Canis lupus familiaris: one gene and its partners. The protein of the gene in region 1 purifies or fractionates together with the protein of each later gene. This does not show direct contact. Links are inferred from orthologs where the notes say so. Each region holds a gene or a part of one and is shown in the gene's direction. Other genes may lie near its edges. The genes, in order: CCT6A, PDCL3 and TLE2.

What was found.
Region 2: the proteins of CCT6A (region 1) and PDCL3 purify together in Homo sapiens (affinity purification with mass spectrometry; 3 studies listed by BioGRID and IntAct, with this or other methods). This does not show direct contact. The link is inferred for Canis lupus familiaris from reciprocal best matches to the Homo sapiens genes CCT6A and PDCL3.
Region 3: the proteins of CCT6A (region 1) and TLE2 purify together in Homo sapiens (affinity purification with mass spectrometry; 3 studies listed by BioGRID and IntAct, with this or other methods). This does not show direct contact. The link is inferred for Canis lupus familiaris from reciprocal best matches to the Homo sapiens genes CCT6A and TLE2.

Annotation. Positions count from the first base shown.
Region 1 is NC_049227.1:465,351-468,992, forward strand, and holds part of CCT6A (T-complex protein 1 subunit zeta), read left to right. Parts: intron 1-108; coding exon 109-205; intron 206-534; coding exon 535-682; intron 683-727; exon of another isoform or gene 728-867; intron 868-1,332; coding exon 1,333-1,466; intron 1,467-2,200; coding exon 2,201-2,303; intron 2,304-3,530; coding exon 3,531-3,603; intron 3,604-3,642. UniProt on the Homo sapiens protein: Component of the chaperonin-containing T-complex (TRiC), a molecular chaperone complex that assists the folding of actin, tubulin and other proteins upon ATP hydrolysis.
Region 2 is NC_049231.1:43,274,052-43,278,207, reverse strand, and holds the start of PDCL3 (phosducin-like protein 3), read left to right. Parts: upstream 1-1,278; 5' UTR 1,279-1,403; coding exon 1,404-1,409; intron 1,410-3,498; coding exon 3,499-3,628; intron 3,629-4,156. UniProt on the Homo sapiens protein: Acts as a chaperone for the angiogenic VEGF receptor KDR/VEGFR2, increasing its abundance by inhibiting its ubiquitination and degradation.
Region 3 is NC_049241.1:56,607,737-56,611,819, forward strand, and holds the start of TLE2 (transducin-like enhancer protein 2), read left to right. Parts: upstream 1-1,229; 5' UTR 1,230-1,318; coding exon 1,319-1,342; intron 1,343-1,421; coding exon 1,422-1,519; intron 1,520-1,958; coding exon 1,959-2,022; intron 2,023-2,423; coding exon 2,424-2,468; intron 2,469-4,083.

The DNA of each region.
Region 1 (3,642 bases):
TTAATTTTAGTGTGTAATTCTGAAAGATTGCTTCCTAAAAATTATTAATCTCTTTAAACATAACAAAGCTACTTAATATGTCTCCTTTAAAATACTTCAATATTTCAGGCTGACTCTTGCTTGTGGTGGAGTAGCTCTAAATTCTTTCGATGACCTAAATCCTGATTGTTTGGGACATGCAGGACTTGTCTATGAGTATACGTTGGTAAGTGTATTTCTTTTCTGAAGATAATATGATAATGTTCTTTGGTTCTTGAATTCTTCGGTAGTAAAAAAAAATTCATTCAAACCTAGGATCATATTCTTGCTTTGTTTACATACATTTTGAAGGTTATGTGTAGTAATGATAAGGCATTGATGGGGAAAATCACATTGCTTTTATATGTGACCTTTTTTTATGAAGTAATTTGCTTTAATGTGATGGGTATGTTGTTCCCTTTTTAATATGTTACTTACTCTTTTATAAGCTCCTCTAGTCGTTCCCAGTCTTGGTACAAACATACCCTATTTTGAAAATACCTCTTTTTCACATAGGGAGAAGAGAAATTCACTTTCATTGAGAAGTGTAACAATCCTCGCTCTGTCACATTATTGATCAAAGGACCAAATAAGCACACACTCACTCAAATCAAAGATGCAATAAGAGATGGCTTGAGGGCTGTTAAAAATGCTATTGATGATGGTAAGATGCTTACTGTGTTTATATTCTTTTACAAGTATAAAAAAAGCATGGCTGAATACTGTGTTCTTTTTATCAGTAGTTTACACAGCCAGACACCATGCAAAAGTAAAGTGTTCCCTTTAAAATGCCTCTAATGGTGTGCTAAGCTTTTTCATAGCATATCATTTTTAAAAGTGAATACAAGTAGGTAACCTGGGTGACTCAGTGGTTAACTGTCTGCCTTTGGCTCAGGGCGCAATCCTGGAGTTCAGGGATCAAATCCCACATTGGGCTCCCTAAGGGGAACCTGCTTCTCCCTCTACCTAGGTCTCTTGTCTCTCTCTCTCTCTCTGTCTCATAAATAAATAAAATCTTTTTTAAAAAAAGTGATAGAAGAAAATGAACTAATAGTAACCTTCCAAGTACTAGTTAAATTGAAGCATTTTGCTATTTAATGTTTTTCTTCCAGAGAAATCTATATTTCTAATATATAATATTTTAGAAATATAATGTGTTGCTTATAGTGTTTTCAAATGCAATATTGTGGCTATTCCACATTCTCAAGAAATTAATGCTTTTTATGTTTGTGTTTTATGTATTTTCTTAATGATTCCACAGTTTTATTTTCTTCGTAGTTGATCATTTCTCTCCTTCCTTCCCACCCCCAACAGGCTGTGTAGTTCCGGGTGCGGGTGCAGTGGAAGTGGCAATGGCAGAAGCCTTGATTAAATATAAGCCCAGTGTAAAGGGGAGGGCCCAGCTGGGAGTTCAAGCATTTGCTGATGCATTGCTCATTATTCCCAAGGTATGACTACTTTAACAGTTTTCTTAACTACATCAAAATGAGTTAGCTGATGAAAGTTTTTTATTAACGTGGAGTCTTTCTCATAATGTAGAGTTGGAGTTAAACAAGTTTTACCAGCTTTCTCCCGAATATAGCTAAAGAAGCTATCTCTTGGGCAGCCCAGGGTGGCTCATTGGTTTAGCGCTGCCTTCAGCCGCGAGCATGATTCTGGAGACCTGGGATCGAGTCCCACATCAGGTTCCCTGCATGGATCCTGCTTCTCCCTCTGCCTGTGTGTCTGCCTCTCTCTCTCTCTCTCTCTTTCTGTCTCTCATGAATAAATAAATAAAATCTTTAAAAAAAAAAAAAAAACCGCTATCTCTTATCCAAATGTATTTGGTTCTTCTGGAAGGGAGTTGAATATCTGAAGTTTCAGAGGCAGGAGGTAAACTGTTTTAAGAGGATTTGCAGTATAGGGGTTATACTTGAGTACAAGCTTACGTTTTGTTTTTATTCTGTTGTGTGCTCACTTGGCATAGTTTTATGACCAGTGTGTTGCTGGGCTTGGGGTGGAGTAATGAGTTAGTAACAAATGTCTAGTTATTCTCTAATGTTCACTTTAGAGAATAACTGGTCTGTCTTCATTGAGGTTTTTTGATGGGTTTTTTTGTTTTTTCTTATTTAGAATTATGGTTTATTACAGATTGACACTTCTTAGGTTCTGTCCTTTAAAAGATTAAATTTTTTTGCTTTAGGTTCTTGCTCAGAACTCTGGTTTTGACCTTCAGGAAACACTAGTTAAAGTTCAAGCAGAACATTCAGAATCAGGTCAACTTGTGGGTGTGGACTTGAACACAGGTAAGAGAATGCAGCTATTTGTAGGGGAACTAGAGTCCGGTGAGATAAAACCAGGAAGGATCAAAAAAGGAACAAATGGGCAGCCCCGGTGGCGCAGCGGTTTAGTGCCGCCTGCGGCCCAGGGTGTGATCCTGGAGACCCAGGATCAAGTCCCGCATTGGGTTCCCTGCAGGGAGCCTGCTTCTCCCTCTGCCTGTGTCTCTGCCTCTCTCTCTCTCTGTGTCTCTATGAATAAATAAATAAATAATTCTTTTTAAAAAAAATGGAGACAAATGAATCTTGGAGAGGTGCTTTACAGTTTGACACCAGTGTTACTAGGGAACCCTGATTTCTGAAATACGATATAAAAATGGGATGACTAGATTCAGTAAACAAAGGGAATAGAGTGGACGTTTGTATAATTTTAAAAGAGTATAGATTTGTTGATTTTGCTGAGTAGTAGTAGGTGGCTCAGGTTAATACAGAAAGATTTCGTGTTGGGCTGGCTTTTACTTAGTTTTCCATCAGGGACTTTAATAAGAAAATAGATGATCGTATTCATGGGTGAAAAAAGGCTGAGTATAGCAAATAATGCTAGAAGACAGGACCAAATCTTAAATGATTTAAAGCCCTAGTCTTAAATGCAGTAACACAAAATATTTAAGTACAAAGTGGAAGAAAGATAACTGAGATACACACCCCTGCAGCATACATAAGACCTTTGTTGTCAATAGCATTTCCATCCAAGTTAATAGAAAAGGTTTCTGGGATGAAGGAAATGATAAACCCATTTTGGCCAGATTATAGTTCAAGTGCTCTAATATGGACAAACAGAATGAATGTGTCTTGAAAAATAGGGATGTTCAAACATTTGGTAACCAAATGGAGTATTACTATTACTGGAAGTTTTCTGAGTAGGGATCAGCCACTTAAAGACACTGGACACAAGAGTCATGGTTTGGAGCAAAATTGGACTGAGGAACTTTGGTTCATAGAATAATCAATGATGAACAAATCATAAAATACTCTGTTGTCTTAGCATTTTGATCTTTATAATTTGCTGTGTGAGGGCAGCCCCGGTGGCTCAGGGGTTTAGCACTGCCTTTGGCCCAGGGCGTGATCCTGGAGACCCGGGATTGAGTCCCACATCAGACTCCCTGCAGAGAGCCTGCTTCTCCCTCTGCCTGTGCCTGTGCTTCTCTCTCTCTCTCTTCTCTGAGATTTTAAGAATACTGGGTTACTTTTCAGGTGAGCCAATGGTAGCCGCCGAAGTAGGCATATGGGATAACTATTGTGTAAAGAAACAGCTTCTTCACTCTTGGTAAGTTTAAGAAAGCCAAAATTAAAATAACCTTTAGGA
Region 2 (4,156 bases), on another chromosome or scaffold:
GGTAAGAGTCTTCGACAAAAGTGGGAGACACACATTTCCACAGAGGAGGTTGTGCAGTTTGAGCCTTTGGCTTGTCAATCTCTGGAGAGAGGAATCACCAGGTGGGGATGAGTCCTGTTCTGAGGAAATAGGGCTGGGAGTGAAGAAAGGCTATAACAGCACCCACTTTATTGCTGTGGAAGGTTGCAAAGCTTAGCATAGGGCCAAACTCACCCCAAACTAGTCTGGTTCCTGATTTTGGTAGTAAGACAAGGGACAATGCATTCACAGTTTGCTGCAGATAAATAAATAAACAAATATTTCAGGAGACCTGTAATTCTGCGGTAAGGAGTTAGGTAAATATTAAGAATCCTTATAAATTATAAAAACCAAAGCTCCTTGCCTTCAAGGAATCATTTTATTTTCACTCTGTATCCCTGGTTTTGCATGTTAGCAGCAAAGACCTGAGGATCTTCAAGAAAATACCAGTTCCAGTCAACTCTTTTGACTGGGGATGGTGCCCCAGCATAACTGCAGTGTTTGAAAGCTCCCAGGGGGTCGACGTTGGGAGTCGTGAGCCCACTCCCAGATGTGCGGATGTGTATCTTCTGTGTTTGCTTCATTGCTGAGGCCGCACGTCAGCCCAGCTGTCCCAGGAGTGAGATTACTTTCTTAACTCAAATTCGGAGCGCTGTGTAGCCAGAAGCCTGGAGCCCAGCACCTGCATTTTTACAATTTAGATTCTTCTGGTTTACTCGGTGCCTCCTGTGTGCCTGGGCAGGGCCGAACACTTGCAAAGATGGGCCGCCTGAGGCTTAACCAGGTGAAATGACTTTCACCTTTTTGTCTGTCGTAATCACCGCCGTATCCGCAGAGCCTAGACTAGTGCCTGGTGCACATAGGCTCCTGGTAAGTATGTGTCTGAATTAACTGCCTTATCTGACGCTGAAACGATAAGCGAGTGAATTCCGGACGACCCTGCATCATTTTCAATTGTAACACTGGCGCACTGAAACACCTTTCTACTTCTGACTTCGGGAGCCGAGCCCTCCTTACAACGGTAGGGTCTGAGGCAGCAGACGACACCTCGCAACGAGCACCTCCTCCATCTGGCCCCACCTTTCCAAGGACCGAGGCCTGCCCTAATAAGGTAGCAAAGAGAAGGGGCTCCGGGTCACGTGACGCCAGCGGACCGCCCCCCCGCACTGACAGGACCCCATGCGCATGCGCACAGCTTCCGCGCCGGTTTCTAGAGCAGCGGGCGCAGGCGCAGACGTCTCGCTGACTCCCTGGCTCCGCCCTGCTCTCTGCTAGGGGGCGGGGCCAAGGCCGGGCTGGAAGGGGGGGGTGGCGGCTGGGCGCATGCGCAGAGAGCTGAGGGGCGGGGACACGGCTTCCGCCTGGCGTGACCAACTTTGGGCACCATGCAGGTAAAGAACCTGGGGGGCCGAGGCCTGGGGGGGCCGCAGCGCGTCTGCCCCGCTGGGTCCGTGGCAGCGGCAGACCGTCTGGGCTGGGACCGTGGGGAGCGCCGGGCGCCACCGGCGCAAGAAAGGTCACGCGAGCCTAGGCGGAGCGCAGGCGCAGGCGCAGTGCGGGAGGGCGGGCGTGGTCCCGCCGGGCGCCGCGGGCTGGCTACCCGCACCCCGTGGGCCTCGCCCCTAAATCTCAGGCTTTTGGGGCCGTCCCGTGGCGTGTGTGAACAGCTCGCCCATCCCACCTGACAGGGTTACTTCCTGTTTGTTAATTCTCTTCGCACCTGAGCAAGTGTGTCAGGGGCCCGTTGTGTGGATGTGGAAGCTGAGGCGGATGAGGGAACGGTCCCGCCTGGAGATCCCATGACGTAATCGGTGTCGCAGCCCGTGTCCCCGACCCCACCCGGAGCGGGAGCCGGAGCCGGAGCCGGGTGAGGGATCTGTCCCATCCTCTCCCTCCCTCGCGCTGGTGTGCAGGTTGAGGTGCGCTCCCCTCTCCGATTCCCCGGTTCCCAGCTCAGCCCTAGGTCCTTCTCAGTTACTGTCTGAAAATAGATAAAACCAAACCCCCTAGTTTTGTCCTCTTTTTTTTTTTTTTTTTCGTATCAGAAATTTTCTAATGGAATTGGACAAACTTACAGCGAAAGAAAATGAAGACATCATGGAAATTAGCAAAAGTTTCGGACTAAATGCTGCCCCTTGTCGAAGGACCCTTTGCCAGAGGTCATCCTGCTGCTTCCTAGACCTCACTGTAGTTAGGGATTCTGATGAAATCCTCGCTGGCTAAGTGGCACATGACAAATGGAGTTAGTGTGGGTTTGCTTGGGAGCTGGGCAGGATAAGCGTCTACAAATAGAGTGTGTCTACCAGAAGCCAGACACTCGGGAGTGGGGAAGAGAGAGCTCCAGGGCTGCCCTGGCCTCCTTGGCGTTCTCTGTCCCTTAGAACCCTGCGTTGAAATGTCATTTCTTGAGCGCCTTCCCTGACCACCCCGTTGAAAGGATTCTGTTCATTTTCTTTTGATAGATCTCAGCAAGACAGTGACGTGGAGTTGGGGCTGCAGCCTGGCTGTTTTAGTGCTCTCTCCACAGTGCTCTTGGAGTTCCTATGCCAGACCAGGTCCATTAGCAGTGTTCTAGCCAAGCCAGGCAAAACCAGTGTTTGACTCGCTAGTTTGGGGAGCTAGAGCCCACTTTGACATGTATCCTTCTGACATTTGATCCTGGTAAATTTGACTCGTCCCAGTATGACAGTGTCTTCCTAAATGTCACATCTTTTCCTAGGCTTGTGAGGATTTACTAAGTAGGTCCAGGTAAAGGGCTTCAGAGAGTGCCCAGCACCTGGTACTCAGTAGGCGTTAGCCATTGTGAGCTATTCCAAGGGGTCTCCGTTCTTCCTCTCAGGTTGAGCTGTTTGAGAATTTGTCAGCCTAGGATCAGGCTCTCCTCCTCCTGACTCTACTGGAGCCACTTAGAACTTTACGATACTCCTATCTCCATTCTTGGGCCCTTTGCACATGCTGGTTCCTCTGCCTGGAAAGTAATTTCTTAAGTTATCATTCCTCACGTCTGCTTCCTTCTCACTTTTCAGTGATGGTTAAATATCTACTTCTGAGACAATATCCCTACCCATTCTGTGGAATGCAGACCTCTTACAACTCTCTAGATCGACAGCTTGTTGATCATTACACTTGCCACAAGCATTTAGTATATGTTGAATGAATCACTCTGAAGCATTAATAAAAATATCAAATAGAAGCCAGGTTAGAGTCCTGGTGTGAGAATTGATACTGATTTGCACATCATATCCTGATTTTTACCAAAGGCTATTTACTGGGTGTGTGTCTTGCATGGTGAGGGTGAAATTGAATGAACAGGAAAAGAACAGGGCTGGTGGATCTTTTGACACTTTCTCAGAAATAGGCCACAGAATAATTTGGTTTGAATTCCTCTTCCCGCCACCTTTCCCATTCAACCCTTTCCCCAACATGGCACCCTTTGTAGTGTACTTTGCACTCATAGTATTTTTGGTCCACTTCCCCCAGGACCCTAATGCAGACACTGAGTGGAATGACATCTTACGCAAAAAGGGCATCTTGCCCTCAAAGGAAAGTTTGAAAGATTTGGAAAAGGAGGCAGAAGAAGAAGAACAGCGAGTCCTTCAGCAGTCAGTTGGTGAGATTGCTTATATTCTTTATTTGTTCTGTCTGTGGATTAAGAAACAACTTTTTAAGCCTCTAACTGCTTTGGTAGAAGGATGTTCTGAGCAGGAATTGGGAACCAGGGATTGGAGTGCTGGGATAGACACTATTTCTGGGACCTTAAGTGTGTCACAGGCTGTCCTCTAACCTTCAACTTCCTGAGCTGTAGAATTTCCACATTTCCACAGCTTCTTGTCTGTATCAGATGAGCACCTGATAATCCTGAAGAAAATATTTCTGAGTCTTGACTTAATGCCCCATTGATCACAGGGGCCAATACTTTTGTCTTCTTCCATGTTAGAGCTAATTTAGAGATGAATTCACTAGAAAGCATTTATCCAGTGAATGTTTATTGAATAATGACTGTCTACCAGGTGTTATTCTAAGCACTGGGGCTCTTGCTGTATACAGACCAGACAAAACATCCCTGTTCTTATGGGGCTTACATTCTAGTGAGAGAGACAGACAATAAACAAGACATAAGTAAATATGGGAAAATAAG
Region 3 (4,083 bases), on another chromosome or scaffold:
TGTACACACAAATAGTTCCCCAATCGCCAAGCTGTGATTGTGCCTTGTCCGCAGAGCTCGGAGAGGGCCAGAATCGCTTCCCCTTCGGTCACCCTCGTATTCCTGGCACCTGGAAGGATACCTGGCCCCTGATAGATGCTCAATAAATTATCTGTTGGCTGGAAGGCGGTGCTGCTCAGCTCGGGAGGGCTTCGTCTACTTTGGCTCCCCCGCCTCCAACACAGGGGCAGGCATCACCGCGAGGCAGGGGTTTCTCTCTATTTTGTGTCCGCTGCGCCTCGGTGCCTAGAGCTGTGTCTGGTCCGCAGGAGGTGCTCCAGGCATGCTTGTTGACCGACTTAACAAACTTTGAGGTTTTTCCTACCAAGATGGGAGCAAGGAGGTGCGATGTCCCAGGTGAGTGTGGGGGATGCTCCCAGGCTGGCTGCGGTCTGTGCCCCCAGTGGAGCGCCTGCCCCCAGCGACCCCGGTCTGGTGGCAGGGATTCGGCTGCCCTTCTCAGGGCCTGCTCTGCCCTCTAGGAGCTCGCAGTCTGCTGCTGGTGGCAAGGGGAGTCCGAGTCCCAGCTGCGGGAGTTTGCTCGTGCAGGGCCAGGCTGGGGGCTGTTCAGGCCCCATCTCCTTAAAGGACAGCTCCAGGCTCTGCCGTTTTACAGATGCGAATACTGAGGCCGGAGGGGGCGAGCGGGGTCTGCCCTCCTCGGTGCAGGTTGCCGGCCTCCTCCAGAACCTGTCTCAGCCCTCTCCCTCGGGAGGGCCCCTTCACCCCAACCGCCCCCTCCCCAGCACGCTGCCCCCCACAGCACCCCCCCGCCCCCCGCCGAGGTGTGTCTGGCTTCCCTGCACGTCTCTCCTCCGGGGAGGGAGCGGGCGGCGTCGGCGGGGCACTGGGCGCGGGCCTCAGTTTCCCCACGGGGCCCGGCCGGGGGCGGGGCGGGGGCGGGGTCCCGGGGCGCGGGCCCGAGGCGCGGGGGGCGCGGCGGGCGGGCGGGTGGGCGGGCCGGGGGGCGGCGGCGCCACCTTAAGGCGGCTCTGCCCGCGGCTCCCGGCCGAGCCCCGCCGGAGGGAGGCGGCTCCGCGCGGGGCCCGCCGCCCGCGCCTCCGCCGACACCGGGCCGCGGCTCGCGCGACCTTCGCGCCCGCCCCGCGCCCGCGCCCCCGCCCCGCCCCCGCCCCGCGCGCTCGGGGGGGCGCGGGCGCTCCGGGTCCCGGCCCCGCGCCGCCGCGCCCCTCCTGCTGCCTCCGGGCGCCCCCGGCCCCGCCGCCGCCCCCCCGGGATCGTCGGGCTCCGGCGGCGCGGGGGCCTCCGCATCGCCAGGATGTACCCCCAGGGGAGGCACCCGGTGAGTGGGGGCCCGGGCCGCGCGGGGGCGGGGGGCGCGGGCGCCCGGAGCTCAGACCCCGCCGCGCCCCCGCCCGCAGACCCCGCTCCAGTCCGGCCAGCCCTTCAAGTTCTCGATCTTGGAGATCTGCGACCGCATCAAAGAGGAATTCCAGTTTCTTCAGGCTCAGTACCACAGGTGAGGGGGGCGGGGGCGCCGCGCCCCGGGGGAGCCGGGAGCTCACCTGGGAGCTCACCTGGGAGCTCACCTGGGAGCCCCCCGGGGGGGGGGGACGGGCCCGCTGGGGGCCCCCGGGCGCAGCCAGGCGGGGGCGGGGCCTCCAGGGTGCCGGGAGGAGGGAGCCCCCCCTGCAGGGCCGAGGGAGGGCTTCCAGGTGGAAGCGCAGGTGAGGTGGCCGGGGACGCTCAGCACTGGGGCGCTTGGAGCCTGAGAAGGGGCGGGAAGGGACTGGACGGAGGTGGGGCGGCGAGCAGGAAGTGGGGACAGGGGACGGAGCCAAAGCCATCACTTTGGAAACTGGCCCAGACCGGGTATCTCTGCGTCCTGTGCCGGGTGGGGCGCGGTGGGAGTAGAGGCAGGGCGCAGAGTGGGATCCCCATGCTCCTCTCCTTCCCAGCCTCAAGCTGGAGTGTGAGAAGCTGGCCAGTGAGAAGACAGAAATGCAACGACATTATGTCATGGTGAGGGGCTTCGGGTGCCAGGAGCTGCGGGCAGTGGGGAGGGGGCTCCGCTGTGACTGAAAGCGCTGGGGGTTTGACTCCCCGCTCACCCTGCCCCTCCGGGCCTCATTTTCCGTCTTGTAAAGGGGGCTGGTTGGGATTCCTGGCCATCCTACAAATAATGAGGCAAGGATGTCCCCTCTCCTGATGGGCATCTCTGAGGGGCCGGGGTCTCTGGGCACCTCCTCCTGCCACCCTCCCTGCTTGCTCCTCTGGTCTTCCCCTCTGGGCTTGGGGGGAGGCTCTGTGCCCTGCTGTGATTCCCCCAGCCTGGGGGCTCCCCGGAAGCCCCAGCATCACCCAGCTCAAGGCTGGGCACCAACTGGCACAGTAGACATTCCCAACTGGCTCTTCCTTTGCAGTATTATGAGATGTCCTACGGGCTCAACATCGAAATGCATAAACAGGTAACTGTTGGGGCTCGGGGTGTTCAGGAGGAAGGGTGAGGGTCTGGAAGCTGTGAGAGAGACCCAGCGCTCAGGCAGTCCGGGTCTTATCCTGAAATCTCTGGGACCAGGGGGCCAGATTTCAGCCTCACAGAAGGAAAACAGTTCTGAACTTCTGGAGACAGGGTCCAGCAGAGAGGCGAGAAGTGGGCAGGAGCCAGGTGTCCCTGTCAAGGAGGGCTTGTGGCAGAGGCTGCAGCCAGGTCGGGCAGGCAGTGGAGGTGACTTCTGGCCCAGGGAGGTCCCTTTCAGGCCAGAGAGTCTCATGTTTGGAGGATGGATCCTGATGATCTGAGCTGGACCCCAAGCTGCTGTTGATGCTTTAAAGGATGTAAGATTGGCCCTAGTGCCCTGAGGGTCCGAGACTCTCATCAGCTTCTGAGTGTGATGCAAGGTTCTCAGACCAGAAGGGTCTCAAATTGACTCCAGTTGTTCAAGATTAACCCCGAGACGGGGTGCCCAGGTGGCTCAGTCGGTTAAGCATCCGACTCTTGATCTCAGCTCAGGTCTTGATCTCAGAGGCGTGAGTGCAAGCCCCATCTGTGTTGGGTTCCACGCTGGGTACCAAGCCTACTTAAAAAAAGAAAAAAAAATTAACCCCAAGGACCTGACACTGACCTCAAGGTTCTCTGATAGATGAGGGACCCCAAAAGATTGTGAGGTTGATGGGGTCTTAGGTTCTGTCCCTGAGACTATCAGAACAGGGTAGGGGTGGGGGGGGTGGAGCCTAAAACAACACTCCTTCCGGGTGGGTGGGAAGAGGAGGGGGAGTGGGCTAAGAGTGTGGGCTGCCTCAGGGTGCCCGCCCTGGTGTGCTTTTCTGGGTATGCGTGGGCTCTGCTGGCTCTGGTGTGGGCCGCGGCGGGCGGGGGCTGACCTGGCTGGAGTAGGGCGTGGTCCTGGGGGTTCATGAAATAGACCATCTTAGGGGGTGGGAGGGGGCAGGCAGGTGCTAGGGCCCGGCCCCCACCCTCCCAGTGGGAACTCAAGCCCTGCCCAGATGCACGAGGCACACAGCACCCCTCTAACCCCGGCAGAGGCGAAGCATAGCCTGACCCTGCACACACCTGGATATGCCATACCTGCCCCTCTCCCCCTGCCCCCATGCAGCTTTCCCTCTGTTCAGCCTCTCAGGGCTCCCCTGGCTCAGATCCTGTCCCCGAAGACACCTGCTTGTAAAACCACAGCCTCCCCTCCACTCCCTGTACTTCTGCGCCCAAACGTGTGGGTTTCCCCACATACCAGCCGATTCTCCAGCTACGACACCAGCAGATGTCCTGAGATTCAGCTTGATTCTGACACTCTGCCTGGAATTAGCTCAGACCTCACAGGTGCGGGGCTCGGCCCCACCAGGCTGCCCCTGTTGCAGATGCCAAGCAAAAGTCTGGGTCTCTGGCCCAAGCGTCTGACCGTTCAGCTATATATAAGTTGAGGGTTCCCGTAATCCCCACCTCAGGTTCAATAATTTGCCCAAACAGTCCCCAGAACTCAGGGAAACAGTTGGCTTGTTAGATTACCCGCTTATCCTATAGGATCGGATTCAGGAACAGCCAGATGGAAGAGAGGCGCGGGGCGA